Linked DNA regions of Astyanax mexicanus. The protein of the gene in region 1 purifies or fractionates together with the protein of each later gene. This does not show direct contact. Links are inferred from orthologs where the notes say so. Each region holds a gene or a part of one and is shown in the gene's direction. Other genes may lie near its edges.

Region 1 (10,293 bases):
CAGTAAAGCCACTCTGCTGAAATACAGCATTATACAGGGTGAGTAAACAGTAAAGTTTCTCCAGCACTAAGGCTGGGTGCAGCAGCATTAGCATTAGTCGCTAACTGCAGTGCTAGCTCTTTTGCCACTCTGAGGTGAGTATATCAGAGTGTAGTCTGTGTGTTTGCTGTGTTAAAACAAGCTACGTGGGAAGAACCACTAGCTGATATCACCTTTGGCCATTCACAGGTGAGTTTTATCGGCCAGTAGCCTGCTGCTAACCCTGGCTAGCACTGCTGGAGCAGCATTAGCTCTAGCTGCTAACTGCAGCACTAGCTCTTTCGGCATTCAGAGGCGAGTATATGTATAAAACAAGCTACAATGGATGAACCACTAGCTGATATCGCCCTGGTTTACTGGAACACTCAGTGTTACAGGGTTCCTCAGTGTAGCGCTATCGGGCGGCATTAGCTGCTAATTGATAGCAATTAGCCTCTAATGCTAATGCTCCACCTTCAGTGGAAATTTAACTTTAAAAGAAAATGTGTTTTGGCTCACTTAGCTTAGCTTTACAGGTCTCGCCACCCAGCAGTGAGACCTACTGAATTAGAAGGAAAACATGGTAACACCCCTGTTCCTTACTATTGTCGCATAAAATGTGCCTTATGTATGGAAACAGACCAGAAAATAAACGTTTGCCTTATAATACGCTGCGCCTTATAGTGCGAAAAATACGGAAATTAACTCCATTTTGGAAAAGCACTTTCAGTGTTTCAGCTCCAAGGGGTCCAAGTTTCCTCATACACTTAATAAACACTATGCACTGATTTATTTTCCTGCTAAAATAAGACTCAATTTAATATACTCTACAGTTTTTCCACAGTTTTAAAATGATGGTAATTAATTACTTTTCTCTTTTCTACATTTTACCCCTTAGCTCACTGCCATGACCATCTCCATGATCATGTATTGCAAGATAAAGGGAAAATAATGCAGAGGAAATCCTGAGAAAAAGATGCTTCCAGACATTTCAGATGTGCAGATTCAATGCAGACAAAACTAATTTTAAGTAACATTTTTAATATATTTTATACATTTGTTTTCCTTTTGTACAATTGTGACATTATGTGAAGGATTTGATTAGTTTAAAGTATCATTTATGTTGATTTAAGAATGTGATCCATTAAATTAGGTACTTTGATTTAATGAATGGATTACTTATCTTTTTTTGTGTTTTTTTTACTTGAAGTAATTTGATACGTTTTGTAAAGGCATATGAAGGATTTTCCTGAAATTATTCAGTACACTGTTAATAATGTGATTAATCCTGTGAATTAACTTTGTATGATCCATGTTTCTGCGCAGTCAAGTGTAAATGTAACTAATATGTCTATTTTAATACATATAAAATTAAAATGTTGTTTTTATCTAGAATCATTCAGTAAAATGCCAAAGAACTTTTAATGCAGATGGAGCTTGCTTTATATTTATATAAAATACATTATGCCATACTAGGCCATTTTAATATATACTGTCCCAGCAATTCTTTAAAAAACATTCATAAATATATATTTAATATTTAAATTGGATAACAGTGTATGTTTTTAACCTGATTAATAATAAAATCCAGATGTCTTATTTGTGTGTGGTGTGTTTTCATTATTCTGCTTTCATTACCAGGCTTTTCTAATGTAGGTTAAATATGTTGACTATGAAGGAACACATAAAGAATCATGTAGTAACTTAAAAGTGTTAAACAAACCAAAATACTCTGTTAACTTGTGGTTTCTGAGGCTGGAAACTCTGATAAACTTATTCTGTACAACACAGGGAACTCATTCCTGATGAGTGCCAGTTTTATCATAAAATTTTGATGGTCTTTGTAACTGTAGTTCTTGAAATTTAGGAATTGAGTGATCTTCATTTCTTAAAATCATTTTCACTTAGTTGAGTAGTTGTTGCTTCTCATAATCTGGATTAGAACATTACTCAAATATTCACTATTCACTGTATACCTGTAACTCTACCTCTTCACTACTTTACTTTAACTGATGCTCTCAAACACTTTATTAAGAGACAAGAAATTCAAGTAATTAACTCTTGATGAGCACAGAGAAAATAAACATCAAGATGTGCAACACTGTCTCTATCTAAACAAGAGGAGCTAATAAAAACATATTCTAGTTTGTTTAACACTTTTTGTTTAATAAATAATTCCAGTATTAATCTACAATACAGAACTTGTATCTTCAAATGTTGATAAAAAACATGATATAATATTTATTTGCTCAAGTTGTCCAGGAGGAAGTTTATATCAGTCATACAAATATATTTTTATTATTTTGAAAAGATAAATGAGCTTTTTAAGGCCAGTGCTGCCATCTTATGGCAAAATATATATATATGGTACCCATAACATTAGTACTATTTGTTTCTACAATCAGTTGGTACTAATATCAAATAGGATAAGAAACAAAAAGCTAGTAGATAAATAATACAAATATTAAAAGATAAAAAAGCAATAAATATGTTCACCATGACTAAAAAGATAAGAAATAGGACTGGGCGAAAGTGAAGGTAATGGTACAAATCAGAAATGGGATTAGGCCAAGGTGTAGGGACAGGTTACACATTAGGAATGGGATTGAGCCCAAGGGAAGAAATGCGATTGGACCAATGTGTAGTAAAAGGTACAAATTACAATTGGAATTGGGCCAAAGTGTAGGTAGAAGTACAAATTAGAAATGGGATTGAGCCATCAGCTGCTGGAGCCTTGAGAGAGCACAATTAGCCTTGCTCTCTCTGGGTGGGTACAGTAGATGGCGCTCTTTCCCCTCATCACTCCTCTAGGGTGATGTAGATCGGCACAAACTGCGTCTGTGAGCTGATGTATCAGAATCGAGTCGCTGCGTTTTCCTCCGAGCGTTAGCGCTGTGATGCTACTCGGTAATGCTACATCAGCAGCAGTTCAAAACGAGGCGGAATCTAACTTCACATGTATAGGAGGAGGCATGTGCTAGTCTTCACCCTCCTGGTGTGTTGGGGTATCACTGGTGATAGGGGGGGGGGTCCTAATAAGTGGGTTGGGTAATTGGCTGTGCAAAATTGGGGAGAAAATGGGAAAATTTTGAAAAAAAAAGGGGATTGGGCCAAGGTGTTGATAAGGGTAAAAATTAGAAATTGGATTGGCCCAAAGTGTCGGGATAAACTGAAAAATAGAAATGGGATTAGGCTAAGGTGTAGGCAAGCACACAAATCAGAGATGGAATTGGGCCAAGGGGGTCAAAACAAGCTACAAATTAGAAATATAATTGGGCCTGTGTTGTTGTGAAGGGGATTATTCAATTATTATTATTTTTATTTTATTAAGTAAATACTACATTCACCGATGTAAATACTTGTCCTCAATACCAAAATTTGATATTTTTTTACTAGACTTTACCTCACTTTTAAAATAATTTAGAATGTCTAAAAATGGGAAATGTAAAAGAAGTGTAAGAATTTGTGATGAACTCTCACTATATATATAATATTTTTCCCTCTTTCTTTCCTTTTCTCCCTTTTGTATATTTTCATGCTGTCTTCTATCGTTGTTTCTTGTATTAACCCGAAACTTTAAGAATAAAAAAGAATTAAAAAATAGTCCATCGAAACATTAAAGCTCCACTAGGTAGGATTGAGAGTTTGTGCTTGTGGGCTCCCCCTACAGTTGTAGAGTGTAATAAATGTTTCAGGCGGATTAGTTTCTCTTTCTTGTTTTCTAGCTTTCACAGACATATTTAGTCTCTTTCCAGCTTCTGCCAGAGTGTCTGTATGTTAGTTTGTAAAGAATGAACCAGTAGTCCTTGTAGAACTGTTAGAACTAAAGGTCGGAAAGCAGGTCACAGTTCTCGCGAGCGTTGGTCGCAGCCGCCTCGGAAAACTTACTGGTTTGAGCTCAGAGGAGCTCCGGCACAGACACGAGAGCACCGCTATTTCTCCTATTACACCTCAATGCAGCGCTGCAGTGAGTTTCAAGCTGTAATTTTACTTCTTAAAAAAGAACAAAAATCAAGGAAATCCTACCTAGTGCTGCTTTAAATAAACATTTACAAAAAATATTAAAAAAAAGAAGAAGGGGGTTATTCAACCAAAAGAGGGCAGCATTGCACTGTGCTGGTTAAGCAGTGCAACACAATGCTGTTTAGAGCTTCTGGTTTTACAGAATGTGTCTCGGATCAGATCTCTCTGCTGGTTTATTCTCATGCCCTGCAGTGAAATGTTAGATCTGACACTTCTTATTCTAAATGTCACAAAAAGAGAAAGAGAAAGAGAGAAAAAGAAAGGGAGAAGGGTAAAAACAGGGAGATAGAGCCAGTTTACAGGGGCAAACATCCAAACCCAGTGAGGGGGGCCTGGCTGTGTGGTAGAGGGCGGTGCTAGAGCTCCAGAAAGCTCCAGAGCTGGAGCGGTACTTTCACTGCACACACACACACACACACTGTGAAACACACACACACACACACTCACACACACACTGAAAACATCGAAACACACGCACGCACGCGCGCACACCGGCGAGAATGGAGCGAAGCCTGCTCTGGGGTTGTTAGATGGATACATAGTGGATAACGCGCCTGTTGCGCACTACTTTTTTTTCTCCTCCAGGATGCTCTACAAGTGATCCAGTCTGTAATCTGGAATATCTACAATAATCCGGATCTCTTTAATTCGTTTCACCGTTGAAGATTAAACAGAACACACCAAACGATCCGGATTCAACTCGGGTTTGCTCCGTATGGCGCGATGCATCTCCCCGGGCTTATCGTACTCTCCAGCGGGGCAGAAGTTTGGGGTTAGCCGCTTGGAGCGCACAGGGTGACCGCTACCGCTGGAGATTTTGACCGCTGGAGCTTCTGGAGCTAAAGCCCGAGTCCTGAGCGTAGGCTGCCGGTGTATGGTGCGCGCCCCCCGGCATGGCGAGCGAGCTGAAGCCGCGGTTGTGCTGCATGGCGAAGGGGGAGCAGGGCTACGGCTTCCACCTGCACGGAGAGAAGGGCAAGAGCGGCCAGTACATCCGCAAGGTCGAGCCCGCCTCCCCCGCCGAGGCTTCGGGGCTCCGGGCCGGGGACCGGGTGGTGGAGGTGAACGGAGAGAACGTGGAGAGAGAGACCCACCATCAGGTGAGCAGTTAAACCAACTCTGGTAGGGTCTAATACAGTTTCTGAACCAGTTAATCTGCATTTCTCCCAAATTCCAAATAAAAATATTGTCAATTAGAGCATGTCTTTCCAGATAATGAGAAATGGCTGAAATAACAAAAAATATATATTGCAAAGAAAACAAGTTCATATTCATAAAGTTTTCATGCATCTTGGCATCATGTTCTCCTCCACCAGTCTTTCATACTGCTTTTGGATAACTTTATGCTTTCACTACTGGTGCAAAAATTCAAGCAGTTCAGTTTGGTTTGATGGCTTGTGATCATCCATCTTTCTCTTGATTATATTCCAGTGGTTTTCAAATTTGGTAAAATTTGAAGAAACTCATAATTTTTAAGTGCTCTCTTAATTTTTTCCAGAGCTGTAGATAAGCTACTACCCTAATAGCAAAGAACATTCACCACATCTTTTAGGGCTGCATTTAAGGTTGATGATGGAAAAACAACCTTAAAACAACCCTTATTATTTAACATTGCCTTATATGCATTATCAGTTAACCAACTCTGGTAGGGTCTAAAGTAAGTAAGTCTGTAGATAAGATACTTTTAATACTTAGATACTTAGAAGTTTTAGTATAGCTAGGCTATATAATATATATGTATAATGTCACTAGATCTTTTAAGGTGGATGATGGAAAAGCAACCTTAAAACAAGCTCTGGTAGGGTCTAGCTTAGTTAGTTAGTAAGCAAGATAACACAATAACAACAACATAAAAGCTTGGTTAGGTCATCCAACAGCCTATACATGGAGACACGCCATAGTTGTTTGGCAAATGTTAGAAATTTTAAAACCAGTTGTCCTCAAACTTTATATAAAACTACTAAAACTAGACTCAGTATCAGCATTATGTGTATTTTGTCTCCCCTTTATACTTTATTTTTTTTATTTCATACAAACACTGTGTAATGATGTCTTTTTGACTGGACACATGATCGATTTGACCGGTCGTATGACCAAGCCTGACCAAGCCAAGTAAAATATGTTGCCCACAATTACGATGATATTATGATACTGTGATTCTGTGATACTCAATATATCACAAGACAATTCTCTACGATACAATATGATAAAATACTCCTATGTAATCAAATACCAAGAAGTTTCAGTATCACAGAGTTTTACAACCCATATTCAGAACATACCTCACTGGGCTCCTTCCTAACTGCACTGATCACTCCTGAAGGCTTACACTACCTCCCGGCCGCTGCGCTCCTCTAATGAACGTCGCCTCGCTTTGCCAAACACTCACACAAAGCAATCCAGACTGTTCTCATACAGAGTTCCCCAATGGTGGAACAAACTACCTTCCACTACCAGATCAGGAGAATCTCTCACTATCTTTAATAAACTCCTGAAGACAGAGCTCTTCAAAGAGCACTTACTCTCCTAACACCTCTAACTAACTACCTTCTACTACCAGATCAGGAGAATCTCTCGCTATCTTTAATAAACTCATGAAGACTGAGCTCTTCAAAGAGCACTTACTCTCCTAGCACCTCTAACTAACTACCTTCTACTACCAGATCAGGAGAATCTCTCACTATCTTTAATAAACTCCTGAAGACAGAGCTCTTCAAAGAGCACTTACTCTCCTAACACCTCTAACACACTAACTACTTCTAACTTCATTTTCCTCTTCCCCTCCTTCACTTCTCTATCCCTTTATTTTCCTTCGACCTCCTTTAGGCCCTGTCTAAAGATGTTTTACCTTTAAACTTCTATTAATTTTGTACTTGACTATTGTCGCTTTGGACAAAAGCATCTGCCAAATGTAATTAAATGTAATGTTATTCTTCAGTGCAGGTTTACCCTATTAATTTGATTAGCAATACCACGTAAAGCAGTGAAGCAGCCTATGTTTCAGGAAAAATATTGATATTTGACACCACAAATCGATACGATATGATAGATAGATTGAAACTCTTCAGATACATCCCAAAATCAATATATTCTCCCACCCCTAGTTGACCATAATTAGCCTAAACAAGCTGGTTGACAAGCATGACAACATGCATGATACATGAACTGCACCAGTGAAATGCTGGTGAACTATTTGTTTTTTACTGATTAACCTGATTTAACCAGCTTTACCATTGAGCTGGATTTTTTTAGCAGGGTATTAAACTATGCCGGAGGCAGAATTTGGCACAGGCTCCCCAAAACTGGAAAATCATAGCAGTGTACATGTCTGGCAGCTTTACAGACACAATACAATCAGCTAATGCTTCCACCAGCATCCCCATCACAGGCCGAGTCAGCATTACCCCTCATCCAACATCAACACTGACCCAGCCTCAAGTGGCTCCTTCTGTACTCCTTATGTAGTGCGCTCTAGAAACAATAATGGCTTCTGCATGCAAATAGTGCACTACACTCCCAACAGGGACCTGCTTGAGACTCAGCCAGTGGCTTTAACATTACAGACCAGCCATGTTTCCATGTTTTTATGTTTTTATGCTGGATCGTTTCTCCAGAGAGTCTTATTTTGTGAATGGACCCGACTTTCTCCAAAATCACGTGACTGTAGACAGATCTGGTACCTGCACTGGTGGTGGAAGTGGTGAATCAGGTGGATCAGTAGCGTGTGCTTGTTGTGGTGATGATAATGTGGCTCTGTGGATCTGCAACTTCAGCTAAATTCAGCTTCATAAACAGATGATGTAAATAAAGGCTGAGATAGTTAATCAGGAAAGCACTGGCTGGCTGAGTGAAGAGAATCTGGCTGTCTGGGCTCGCGGCTCGTTTCAGAGCTCTGTGCATGTGTGGGTCTGTCTGTTTGATTGACTGTTTGGGACATCTGGCCCTTTTTCATCCCAAACACAATACGGCAGTGAGGACCGAGAGCTTGAATGCAATTCAAAGGCTCTTTTTCTGATGCATGCTTAGAGACGAGTGCTCTGTTGATGGCCGCTGTACTGAACAGGCCTTTATTGATGTTAGAATAAAGAATACAGTATGAGAAATATTACAGATTTATAATTATTGAAAATATTTGAACTTAAAGAGGATAAACACATAACTAGCACTTGTTCCAGGCTGTTTGTTAGTGAATTTTTAAGGGTCTGCCGTGTTTAAAGGAGTTAAATTTGACAAATTAAACATTAATGTAGCAGAATATATACTTTAAACATCGTCATGGTGATGTGTGCATGCGCAATAGTCACAATAGTCACATCGCAAGACTTAAGGCAATTTAATTAAACACGTCATGTTGCAATGTTTTGATTCTTGACACAAGAAGTAGATACACAGCGCTGTCTCTGTGTCTGTGTGAGTGACAGGCTGCTGCTGCCTGAGAAGCACAAGGGGGAGGGGGAGCTCGAGGGTAGAGGGAGGCATGAGTAAAGACGAGGTAACCGCATGGCCTCCATCCACATGGTTGGGCACATGCTTAAAAACGTGAGCACGTGTGGAAAGCTGTGCACCTCAGTCCAGCACATTTTCAGTTACAGCTGAATTCACCCTTTTAATCCCAGAAAAACGCTCTTATTTACCTTTTAAAAAGCCATTTAAATGCCTAATTAAAGGGCCGGTTACTGTTGTTTTGCTGTTTTCCTCTTGTTTTGAGAGCTCGGCACTGACTCAGCTCTTGATTGGTCTGGGGCTGGTGACATTATGGGCCCTGCATTGTTTTATATTGCGATAAATATTGTCAAAAAATGAACATTTGCAATCTAAAAGTTTTCCAAGATTGTGCAGCACTAGTATGTACCTTATTATTAAGGAGACATGCCACAAACTACTCTTATAGCGTTAATCTTTGCACCCATTCAAGGATATAGTCCCGCCCTTAAGCAAAAACAGCCAATCAGATTGCACGGTGAATGCTTGCACAGTGAGTGGAGGAGGGTGAACGTAGCAAGCAGGTGGGATGGTGGTGGTGGAGATCAGCGCAGGTGCAGTAGCCATAACAAGCCTAAAATTTGAGTTTTTGTGTATTTATTTCATCAAATGCTATAATCTGTTTATAATGCCTTTATTAAATTTTATCAGTGATTCTGAAACACTAATCCAATCTTTGTTTTCCTGTATTTATATTTAACCCAGTCCCACCACATGGACATTATTCAACTACTTAATTCTTAATTCTTTACACTATCACTTGCCCAACCTCACTTACATTCAAGTACACTTTACTCATGATTGGGTTTTCACATATTCACTTTTCAGAACTATATTTGTTATGTATGCATATTTATATTTATGTATTTTTATATTTATATTCATATGGCACATCAGTGACTTTTATATCAATGTCATTGCACCTTGCACTTTGCTCTGTTAATTATTTAATGACTATTAACAACATGTACTGCACTGCTCTGTTTACAGATAGATTTTTATCTTGTATAGAAAGTTTTTTATGCCCTTATATATATATAGATTATCTATCTATCTATCTATCTATCTAGAACAGACATTCAAATACATTGCAGTATTCTTTAGGCTCCTCAGTTAGTCCATGTTTTTGTCTGGTTGAATGGAATCTGACATCCGAAATAAGCTGGTAATGATCTGAATTCCAGTCTGAATGTATGCTGGCGCTCGTTCAGAAGCAGCAGCGCTGCATCCAATAGCTGTGCAGGCCGAGGCCGAGGCCGCATTACAGAGCTGCAGCTTTTCCAGCATTATACTAATGCAGCATAAGTCTCTCAGCGTCACAACCATTGGAGTGAGTGGCTTAATGAATGAAGAATGTTTTCTGGAAGTGTGTACTGAAAAAAAGTCTGCTTTTACCGTTTTGTGAAGAGGAACAAACACCAGAACATCCTAAACGAGAGAAACGGCTTGTGAGGATCTTATAGGTTAGCTTTTAGGCTAAGGTTTAGTAGAGATAAAAAGAAGTTTGGATGTTTGGGTGGAAGTTTTTAATTTAATTATCAGGACTCATCAGGAGTCCTGATGAGTGCCAGTTCCTTCATTATAGCATTTTTGATGGTCTTTGGGAGTGCACTTGAGGATACTTTTAAAGTGCTTGAACTGTTTTAGATTAACTGACCTTCATTGCTTCTTAAAGTCATTTTTTCACTGTATACCTGTAACTCTACCTCTTCACAACTTTACAACCAATGCTCTCAAACACATTAAGAGACAAGGAATTCAAGTTATTAA
Region 2 (10,293 bases), on another chromosome or scaffold:
CCACTCGAGCCTGGTCAAACTGAGTTATTTACATCTTAATATGTAAAGTTGCAATTCAAATAAAAGCCACTTGCTGTAATGGGGCACTCGGTTCAGCCTGAGGGAAAAATAGCTCAATTTATAGCAAGCTAACTCACGCTGAGATTTCCCCTCATTACTCCTCCGTCAATTAATATACGGCTGCAAAAAACACAGTTTACTACAGCCAGCTAAAACAGCCAGCTCTACAAAAATGGATTGAGTTCCAATCACAGACACGTCCAATAAATCTGCTAAATTATTTAGACCATGTACCCTTAGAATCTGGTGCAGACATACAGTGATATGAAAAAGTTTGGGCACCCCTGATAGTTTTAATGATTTTCCTTTATAAATCATTGGTTGTTCATATCAACAATTTCAGTTAAATATATCATATAGCAGACAAAGACTGTGATATATGAGAAGTGAAATGAAGTTCATATGCTTTAAAGACAGTGTGCAATAATTCTTAAAACCAAATTAGGCAGGTGCATAAATTACATCAATATTTAGTAGATCCTCCTTTTGCAAAAATAACAGCCTTTAAACACTTCCTATAGCTTCCAATGAGAGTCTGTCTTCCGGTTGGAAGCATTTTAGACCATTCATCTTTACAAAACATCTCCAGTTCAGTCAGGTTTCAGATGGCCATTCCAGAACGTTGTACTTGTTACTCTGCATGAATGCCTTGGTAGATTTTGAACAGAGGAGAAAACAGAGGATTTTGCAAAGAGGAGACAAATTGCATTTGGCCACCTTAACCCTTTCACATGATTGAATTCACCTGTGCATGTAGATCAAGGGTCAAAGAGCTATAAAGTTATTTTTAACGTCTCAAATATTACTGTGTTCGTCTGATATATGATATATTTATATTACATTTCTTAAAAAATCATTAAATACACATAAATAGGTAAAGTAATAAAAATGTAAATGAATACACATCCAATTAAACATAGTCCTCAATACCTGCAAATGTCTTAGTACAAATCATACAGAAAAAGTGATAAAATGGCTAAAAAAAATGACCTTATAAACCCTAAGCCTTACCATATGCTGCTGAGAAGAATTATGGTATTTGGGAATTTCCAAAAGTAGTATAAATTGGTATCTCTACAAAGACAGACAGACAAAGGAACAGACAGACAGACAGGTAGCGAGATAACAGAATGATAACAGAATATGATACATTATGAAATAAAGATGAGATAAAAAAAAACTCAAATTCTATGAGGTAAAACTTTTACTGATACGTTGCACTTGTGCAGGATGGTTGCGTAGTTACAGGGGTGGTAACTGGTTGTATTGCTTAGTGGTTGCTATGCTGTTACTAACTGGTTACTACAGTATCATGAGAGATGGTTGTTAAGGTATCCAAATTGGTTTCTGTGGTGTTTCTTAATGGATGCTCTGATATCTGAAGTGTTTGTTAAGTTGTTGCTAGGTGGATGCTAAGGTGCTAAAATTAGGCAGCAATAGAACAGTCAGTTGTTGATGTGGTAGAAGAAAGAAAATGGCACATTTTAGAATCTAAACAAGTCTGATCAGGCTTAAACTGTGATGGATAGAAACACTTTGATAGAGAACTTGCAGGTCATGTGGGATGTTCCTGCTATGCAGATGTCACTACCTACCAAAAAAAGGAAGGGCAACCTGTGAACCAGTGACAGGATATGGGTGCCCAAGGCCCACTGATGCACTTTGTTTAGTCTGGTTTAATTGTTATTCCTTATAAGGCCTACTTTCAGTATTTCCTTTTTCCAGTTTACAGAATAATCAAACTAGAAGTGAAACTGTAAAAAAATAAGTATACAGTGTCTTTTATTACTACCTCACAATCTGTAACAACTTATTATAGGCTTCTCTGAAAGCCATACATGTCTACATTAATAAACATATACAGGATTTACAGCAACCTTGTCCAGAAATCAGGTCAAATATACAACTTGCCAAGTGGATGCTGTCATGCAATGCATAACTAGAATTAAAATGTTAGAGTGGGACTGTGTGTTATATGATAATATATAAGTATATTTGCTACTATGAGACAATGTATTGTTTAGTAATACAGGAAAGTGTGTTTGGTAATATGGGACTGTGTGTTTTGGTAATATGGGACTGTATGTTTTGGTAATATGGGACTGTGTTTGATAATATGGGACAATGAGTTTGGTAGTATAGGACGGTGCATTTTGGTAATATAGACACTGTATTGTGTAGTAATATGGGACAGTGTTTGGTAGCATAGGACAGTTTATTTCTGGTAATATGGGACAGTGTATTGTGCAGTAATATGGAGCAGTGTGTTTGATAATATGGGACAGTGTGTTTGTTATATATAAAATACAAAATAAATAAAAACTGTGGCTACCAAATACAGTCCTATGTTACCAAATACACTGTCCCATCATGATGGTACTGTGTTTGTTAATATGGGACGTTTTGTATGGTTAAATGGCAGTGCATTTTGGTAATTTGGGACAGTGTGTTTGTTATATATTTAAAATACACTGTGGCTATGTTGCCAAAGACCATCGCATATTATCAAACACACTGTCACTGTCATGATGTATTTCAAATACATAGTCCAATATTAACTACATTAAAAAGCACAGTCCCATTTTACTAAAAACACTGTCCCGTCATTGCAGTGAACGTGTGTTATATAATATGGGACTGTGTTTGGTAGTTAATGTACCCACAGTTAATATGGGACTGTGTATGTGGTATATTAAACACTGAACAGCCATAACATTAACACCTCCAAAGTGAATAACTTATTATCTCTTTACAATGACACCTGTTAGGGCATCAGTCAAACAATTGAATTCCTACTAAAAATATTTTCCCACTTTATAAGTCTACTAACAGTTCAGTTTATTAATTAATCAAACTTAAGCTGACTTTTTATTTTACTTACTTACTTACTACTTATTTCACAGTCTGAATAACTTTACTGTGTGCGTTCTTTTGAGTCTGCATGTATAACTGTTAAAATAATAAACAGGCTTTAAATCAGTAGCGTTTAAAGCAAGCAAATCATTCCGGTAAAATAGATAGAAATGAAAAGAAGCTCTAAATACTTTAATACTGTTAATACTTTAATGGACAGACATCTGAGTAACAGTTCTAAAGCCCAGGCAGATAAATCTCAGCGTTAGGCACCTCGCTCTGATAACCGGAACAGGCAGGAGGCGGTGTCTATCAGAGCCCAACATTAAACATATCTGACGTCTATGGCTCCATCAGCATCGCTTCTCAATGACCAAAAAAGCGCTTTGCGTTTCACAGCTTCTAAATGCGGTCAGGTTTATTAGCTATAATATATTTCCCCGCGTCGTTTTACCTCTAGGACAGACACTGTGCTGTGTGTTTCTGTTTTTTTGGAGGGGGGGCGAGTCGAAGTTTGTATTTATTATTTTCCTCCGAGAAGCGGAGCGCGTTTGACCGAGACTGAGAGCAGACTGACCAGCCGCTGTCCAGCCGTGACCGCTCGGGGATTCTCATGAGTGTCCCTCCGGTGATCCGGGCGCCCAGCCCCGTCCCGGGCTCCCAGGGCGTTTCCTTCCACATCCAGATCGGGCTGAGCCGGGAGCCGGTGCTGCTGGACTCGGGGGACTTCAGTCTAGCGCAGGTCCGAGAAATGGCGTGCTCCATCGTGGACCAGAAGGTAAAAACTCACCGGGTAACGTTACTCTCCTCACACCGCATGTGCGCTGGGTTCCTCGGTGCGCTTGGGAAGTAGCTTAGCTAGTGAGCTAGCTTAGATAAAGTGTGGAGCGAATGATAAGTAAATAAGTGCGGATAGAAAATGTTAAACGAACTTTTCTATTGCGTTTTACTCGTCGTTAACTAACGTTAGCAACGTTAGAACCGCCATGGGAAAGCGGGGTCTCCGCTGAGGTGCTGAAGAGGGTTTAGTTAGACACAGCGCTGTTCTTTAGGTCAGAAAGTAAAAAAAGCCGGTATATGGGTTTACTTGTGAGTTTGAAACATTTTAAACGATAAAACTGGCTAGGTTAGTTAGCTAACTAGGTTATCTAAGTTATACGTGAACTGTATCACTGTATAACTTACAGTGAAGGCTAGGCTACTAGTTAGCTAACTAGCTAACTACTTATTTTGACCAATATGTGGTAACCAAGGTAACGCCAGGCTAACTAGTTAGCTAGTTAACTAGCGTTAGCTTGTTAGCTAGGTAACTAACTTCACTGAACTGAGGCTGTGTCCTGTGTTTTCTACTTACCGAAAGACCCAACAAACATTTTAAACATATAAACAGAGAGTTTAAGTTGATGCTGGAAGGAAGCTGGCGAGTTTAGAGCTTCTAACAAGTGGTCTTACTGTATCTGAATGCAAAACTGGCATCAACACTTCAGCCTGTAAAGTCACTGCTGACTGCTGACGACACGTTCTGACGTGCGACCACTGAAGTGCTGTTTCAGGAGAGGCTGGCCTGCAGTGTTACTGGCAAACACACACACACACACACACACACACACACACTACACTGTCCTCTCCTGTGACTCAGTAACCCAGTGTTTCCCTCTTCCATAAAATTCCATGAAACCCCAGGTCACAAGACTCTTCTAGTTAGTTAACTAGTAGTACAAATCTATTTACATTTCAAGCATGCAGAAGGTCAGGTGGGCGGAAAAGTCAAATAACAGTAGAAAAGTTAAAAAGAAGCTAGGCCTCCATCATTTCTTTCCATTCTGCTGGTAAAAAGGTAAAAGCTGTATGTCTCCCTATGTCTCTCAAGTGCACTCACCCAAGCATAAAGCCTGAATACACTCTGTACAGACTGTACAGAAAAGAAAGTACTCTGAAGGACACTGTGCTCAGCTCTGTTGGCTTCAGAATTCTCTTTTTTACTCTTTAAATTTGTCCTATCAGTGTTGCAGGTTTTGCATCAAAAAGTAACTAGGTAAGACCGTCTGGAGCTGATAGACATTTTTTTGTGGTTATGGATGCCGAGATTAGCCAGCAATTAAAATTATGCCTCCCTTTTTAACTTGTGTTAAAGTTGTTCAAAGTATTGAGTTGTTCTCTACCAATTATCTTTTTTCATCTTTCAAAGACATACCATGCACCTTATTTACTCTACGCTCATGTTGAAATGAAAAATGAGACGGGGTACTCTTCTAAACTGGAAACTCCAAGGCAGTGAGGGAACAGGCAGAATATCCTTCAGTTTAAATGGCAGCGCCTGTGTGGACAACTAACCTCACACACTTGAAATTAACCATTGCCAAATGACCAGTTCAGGGTTCATCAATCAAAGCTAGAGACCCAGGTTTAGCTAGCCTGTTGTCTCTCTGCTAACATTCATCTGGCTAGATTGGCTAGCTGGGTAATACCAAAATGGCTAGCTTAGCTAGATAGCTAGCATAGTATCGTACATACTTAAATTAAAATGGCAATCTCTACTGATTTTGTGAATCCATTCAGGGTAAAGTACAGGATGTTTTGAGGAATTATGGAAGATTTGAACTTTATAAGATTTATTTATTTTTGAAGAAGTGTACGTTATTTGGGAACGCAGCAGTGAGTTAGCATTGCTAGTACCCAGTTTTCCAATGCTACTTCCATACCCCACATCCTCGTTTTGGTAGACGATGGTGACGTAGATGAATAAAGTGTATACAAGTAATCACATTCAAGTTCTATCTAATCTCTGTGTTCTAGTTTAGTAGAGGGATTTCCATCCTCCAAGTTTATGTAAGTTGTTAACATGTGCACGAGAAAAAAAACGGAGGCAATTCTTTTATCATATGATTTAGGTTGCCATTGACTTGATCCAACAGGTTCTATAGATGTTCTGATCATGACACACAGCATTTCATTGGTAAAAAACCCACTCTATTATGACTAGTAAGTACTATACACCCAATGTTATTAGTGTGTGTAATTGGATGCAGCTTAATTTTAACATCAGAACTACATTATGATGTGTTACCATAATATAACACATATCACACAATTAATTCACAATTAATTGAAAGAAATGCAACTTAAAAGTTTTTTCAAGTTTTCGACCAACCTTTAGTGGAAATAAAAACAACGTTAAAGGACAGTTGGCTACAGTTGGCTTGAGATTTCCCAGCATTGTTGTTTATCTCCTGCTGGCAGTGTTCCATGTTTTGTGTCGTTGGAAATGTAAGCACTGTTTTATTTTGTTGTAGGCAAGGCCAAATTAAGACCCTGTGGATGTGATAGACATTAATGTTTTGGTGCACATCCTATCTCTGCAAAGTCTATTGACTTCATGCCTAATATCTGTGTGAATATGCAAAATTTTTGCTTTGTTCATTTGTGAGAAAATACTAAAACTGGACTGATAATAACTTTCCAGCAAAGGCCTTCAGGGTCAGGATCAGCTGCTTGTGCCAATAAGACGGCATCAGCTCATTATAATGCCACAATATACAGTATGTTAAATATAATGCCAAAAACATAAAAACAAAATATCCTGCTTTATAAAAAGATGCTACTATGAACCAAATTTAAGACACATATTGTGGTAATGCAAATTTAAATATCAATCAACGACAACACAAGTAAACACAAAATGCAGTTTTTAAACTAAGTTTTTATAATTAAGGGGAAAAAAATCCCTGTGTAAAAGTTTTTGCCACTAAAAAGTATAACTGTAGAAGAATTTTGGCATACTCATCTCTGGGGCCACATTGGGGAAGTTTTAAGCATAAACCGCCTTTTTAAGGTCATACCAAAGGATATAAATCAGATTTAGGGAAGGACTTCGACTAGGCCACTTTAGCCATTCAGATGTGGTGTGTTCTGGGTCATTGTCCTGCTGGAGAACCCAAGCTCTTTCAGCTTGAGGTCACAAACATATGGCCGGATATTCTCCCTCAGAACTTTTTGGTAGACAGTGGAATACATGGTTCTGTTTATCACAGCAAGTCTTCCAGGTCCTGAAGCAGCAAAACAGTCCCAGACCATCATACTACCACCACCATGTTTTACTGTAGGTGTTTCTTTTTCTGAAATGCAGTGTTACTTTTAAGCCAGATGTAATGGGACACAGAGTAATTTCCCAAACGTTTTGCCGATCAACAAATTGTTTTCTGGCAAAATTGCCTTGAGCCTAAATGTTCTTTTTGCTCAGCAGTGGTTTATATATTAGCAGTCTGCCATGCAGGCCATTTTTGCCCAGTCTTTTTCTTATGGTGAAGTCATGATCTCTGACATTAGCAGAGGCTAGTAAAGCCTGCAGTTCTTTGGATGTTGATGTGGGGTCTTTTGTGACCTTTTGGATGGATCGTCACTGTGCTTTTGGGATAATTTTGGTTTGCCAATCACTCCTAGGAGGGTTCACAACTTTTCACGTTTTTTCCATTTGTGTATGATGGCTTAGAAATGGCTTTGTAACATTTTCCAGACTAAGAGATCTCATTTTTTGTTTTTTGTTTTTTTGTTTTTATTTCTGTATTTCTTTGGATATTAGCATGATATCTAGCATTTGAGTATATTTTCATCAACTTCACTTCTACTTCACCTGTCAAGCAGGTACTATTTAAGTGATTTGTTGATTGAGAACAGGTGTGGCAGTAATCATGCCTGGTTAGGCTAGAAAAATTGATATCAGATGTAATAAACCACAGTTAAGTTTAAGTAATATTTAAATTTGTTATATAAACTGATAATTAAAATTAAGGACAACTGCGAAAAAACACATTGTAATATTTTTTTTAATATTTTTTATTATAAATAAAAGGTCAAAGATTATTTCATGAACAACTGAAAATTTTAGAATGAGTATAAAATAAATGAGTTGTTGTTTAACTACTCTATCAGGCTCTAGTAACACTGAGGAAGTAAAAAGCACATGTACTGAGGCATGTTTTGAAACTGCTGGTGTTGTGCATTTAAGGTGGTATATAAGGTAAATAAGTTGTTTGCTAAGGTTAGCGAGATATCATGAAGTTCTCTAACAGGCTCTATTAATAAAGATAATAAAAAATAAATAAAGGTAATAAAAAATATAAATGAAATTTCAAAGATTATTTCACAAACAACTTAATATTAGTTTTAAACATGTCTCAGCCAATCACATGTTGGTTTATATGACCATTGTTGATGTGTGTTAATGATAAAGCAAATGTCCAAATGTATGTGGGTTTCTGCCATTAGTTAGTAAACTAAACAGTCCTTCCCTTTATAGCGCAATACTTTTGGAGGAGTAGGGATCCATTTTGTTCAAAGCCTTTATGTGACGACACTGAAGTCTTTATATTTTCTCTTTACTTCTGCTGTGTTATGCTTAAACGCTGTTATTATTCCGAACTTATTTGCTCACAGTTTAAAGAAATTTACAGTCTGTTTTTAGAAGTGTACGTGTTAGATCGCGGCTCAGTATTTTGATAAGCATAATAATCCAAAGCTGAATAAGGAACACCTTTTTTTTAACAGGCGTGAGGCTGTCAGCTTGTGTTTTGGAAAAATAGAAGGATGTGTTTAATATATTGAAAATAGAAAAGCAGAGGGGGTAAGAACAACAGATTTAACCTTAACTCCTTTAACACCTCGCAGACACATTCTCAGATTCTGATGGCCCTGGGAGTATAAGTGCTCAGAGCTCTTATCACTTTAAATAGTCAGATGTGAGATGTTGATATGTGTGCATGAAAATGATGGCGACAGTGCTGTACGGAGAGACTCTGAAAATGGTGTTTCTTTGTCAGTGTGCGAGAATGTGTGTGTGTGTGTGTGTGTGTTTGTGCATTAATTGTTTTTCCTCTCGAGCTATAAAGACTGTACATGAATGTGTTCTTTCCGATGGAAAGTCACAGTCACTGGTTTCTGTCTTTTCACTGTGGACCACAGCCATGTGGAAAGTCTGTTAATGTAATTTGTTTTTAAATAATTCAATGATAATATAACATAAATATTCAAGTTTATGTGAAATGTTTTATTCAATAGAAACTTGCTAATTCAGATTTCTTTACTCTGTTGGAGAAAAAAATTAGGGGTGAGGCAAAATATCAAGATCACAATTATAGTCTCGTTTTTGTTTGTGATACATTGTTTTTGTGCACTATGAGGTTCACTTAAAAACCTTTCATTTTTACAAATATCGTCAGTGCGCCTTATAAAACGGTGCTCCTTGTGTATGAATTTTACCAGTCAGGTATTAAGGAGCAGTAAAGCCACTCTGCTGAAGTACAGAGTTATACAGGAGTTTCAGTTTAATTCTCCAGTACTGAGGCTGAAGCAGTATTAGCATTAACCGCTAACGGCACTATGTGCTAGCTCTTTTGCTCTTTAGAGATGAGTATTATCAGCCGATAACCTGCTGCTAACCCTGGCTAGCACCGCTCAGAGGTGAGTATATCGTACTGTAGCCTGCGCACCATTTACACAGTTAAAAAAAGCTACTGCAGTATTAAAACATTTTAACAGTATCTCCAAATGAACAATAATATTAAATAGGGGTGGGCAATATTATATCGTATACAATATATCGTGACACAGAAATATCATGATATTAAAAATCCATATCGTGATAATAGGGCTGTTCTGTCTTAAAAGTAGTCTATTATTTACTGTGAAGCTTTAGGTGTATTTATTTTATAATTGTTTTAGTTTGCAGTTTATATGCATGCTCTAAATAAATGTGCATTTTTGCTGCATTATATTATTTTATGCTATATTATTTATTTTGCCACATTATGTATATACTGTTATACTATTATACTATATTCCTGAAATTAACAAATTATTTTTCTGTTTTCCTATATCGCCAAGTATATCGTTATCGCAAAAATACCCTGAAATATCGTGATATTATTTTAGAGCCATATCGCCCACCTCTAGTATTAAATAAATATGGCGTTTCAGACATGCTGGATTTCTGTTCTGTTTCTAGCTAATGAAAGGGCCAAAATAGCTCAATTAATCAATTGTGCATTTAAAATATCCATAGGATGGGGCACTCTGACAAATTTGAGGTTCTCTCTAAAAAAAGAGTGGGGAAGAAACACAGCACATTTTAATTTTGTGGCAGTAGTTTATTCTTGAAATAATTTCTTCAATTCAATGTTTTGTTATATTGCCTAGAGTATCGTTTTCGCCTACCCCTAGTTCCCAAGTCTTAATGAATCGTGGCCACGCCTTAAGATCTCATTCCCACATCTTAATAAGTTGTGGCCATGCCAAAGGATCGAATTCCCACTTCTGAATAAGTAAAAATAATGACCACGCATAATTTTTTTTTCAACATAATGTCACCTTAGGGGCTTGGGTTAG

The links.
Region 2: the proteins of Na(+)/H(+) exchange regulatory cofactor NHE-RF2 (region 1) and prkd1 purify together in Homo sapiens (affinity purification with mass spectrometry; 3 studies listed by BioGRID and IntAct, with this or other methods). This does not show direct contact. The link is inferred for Astyanax mexicanus from reciprocal best matches to the Homo sapiens genes NHERF2 and PRKD1.

What each region holds. Positions count from the first base shown.
Region 1 is NC_064426.1:39,176,931-39,187,223, forward strand, and holds the start of Na(+)/H(+) exchange regulatory cofactor NHE-RF2, read left to right. Parts: upstream 1-4,434; 5' UTR 4,435-4,934; coding exon 4,935-5,141; intron 5,142-10,293. Other genes in the region: tspan35 (tetraspanin 35), read left to right, coding at 917-970.
Region 2 is NC_064421.1:45,646,722-45,657,014, forward strand, and holds the start of prkd1 (serine/threonine-protein kinase D1), read left to right. Parts: upstream 1-3,168; 5' UTR 3,169-3,526; coding exon 3,527-3,691; intron 3,692-10,293.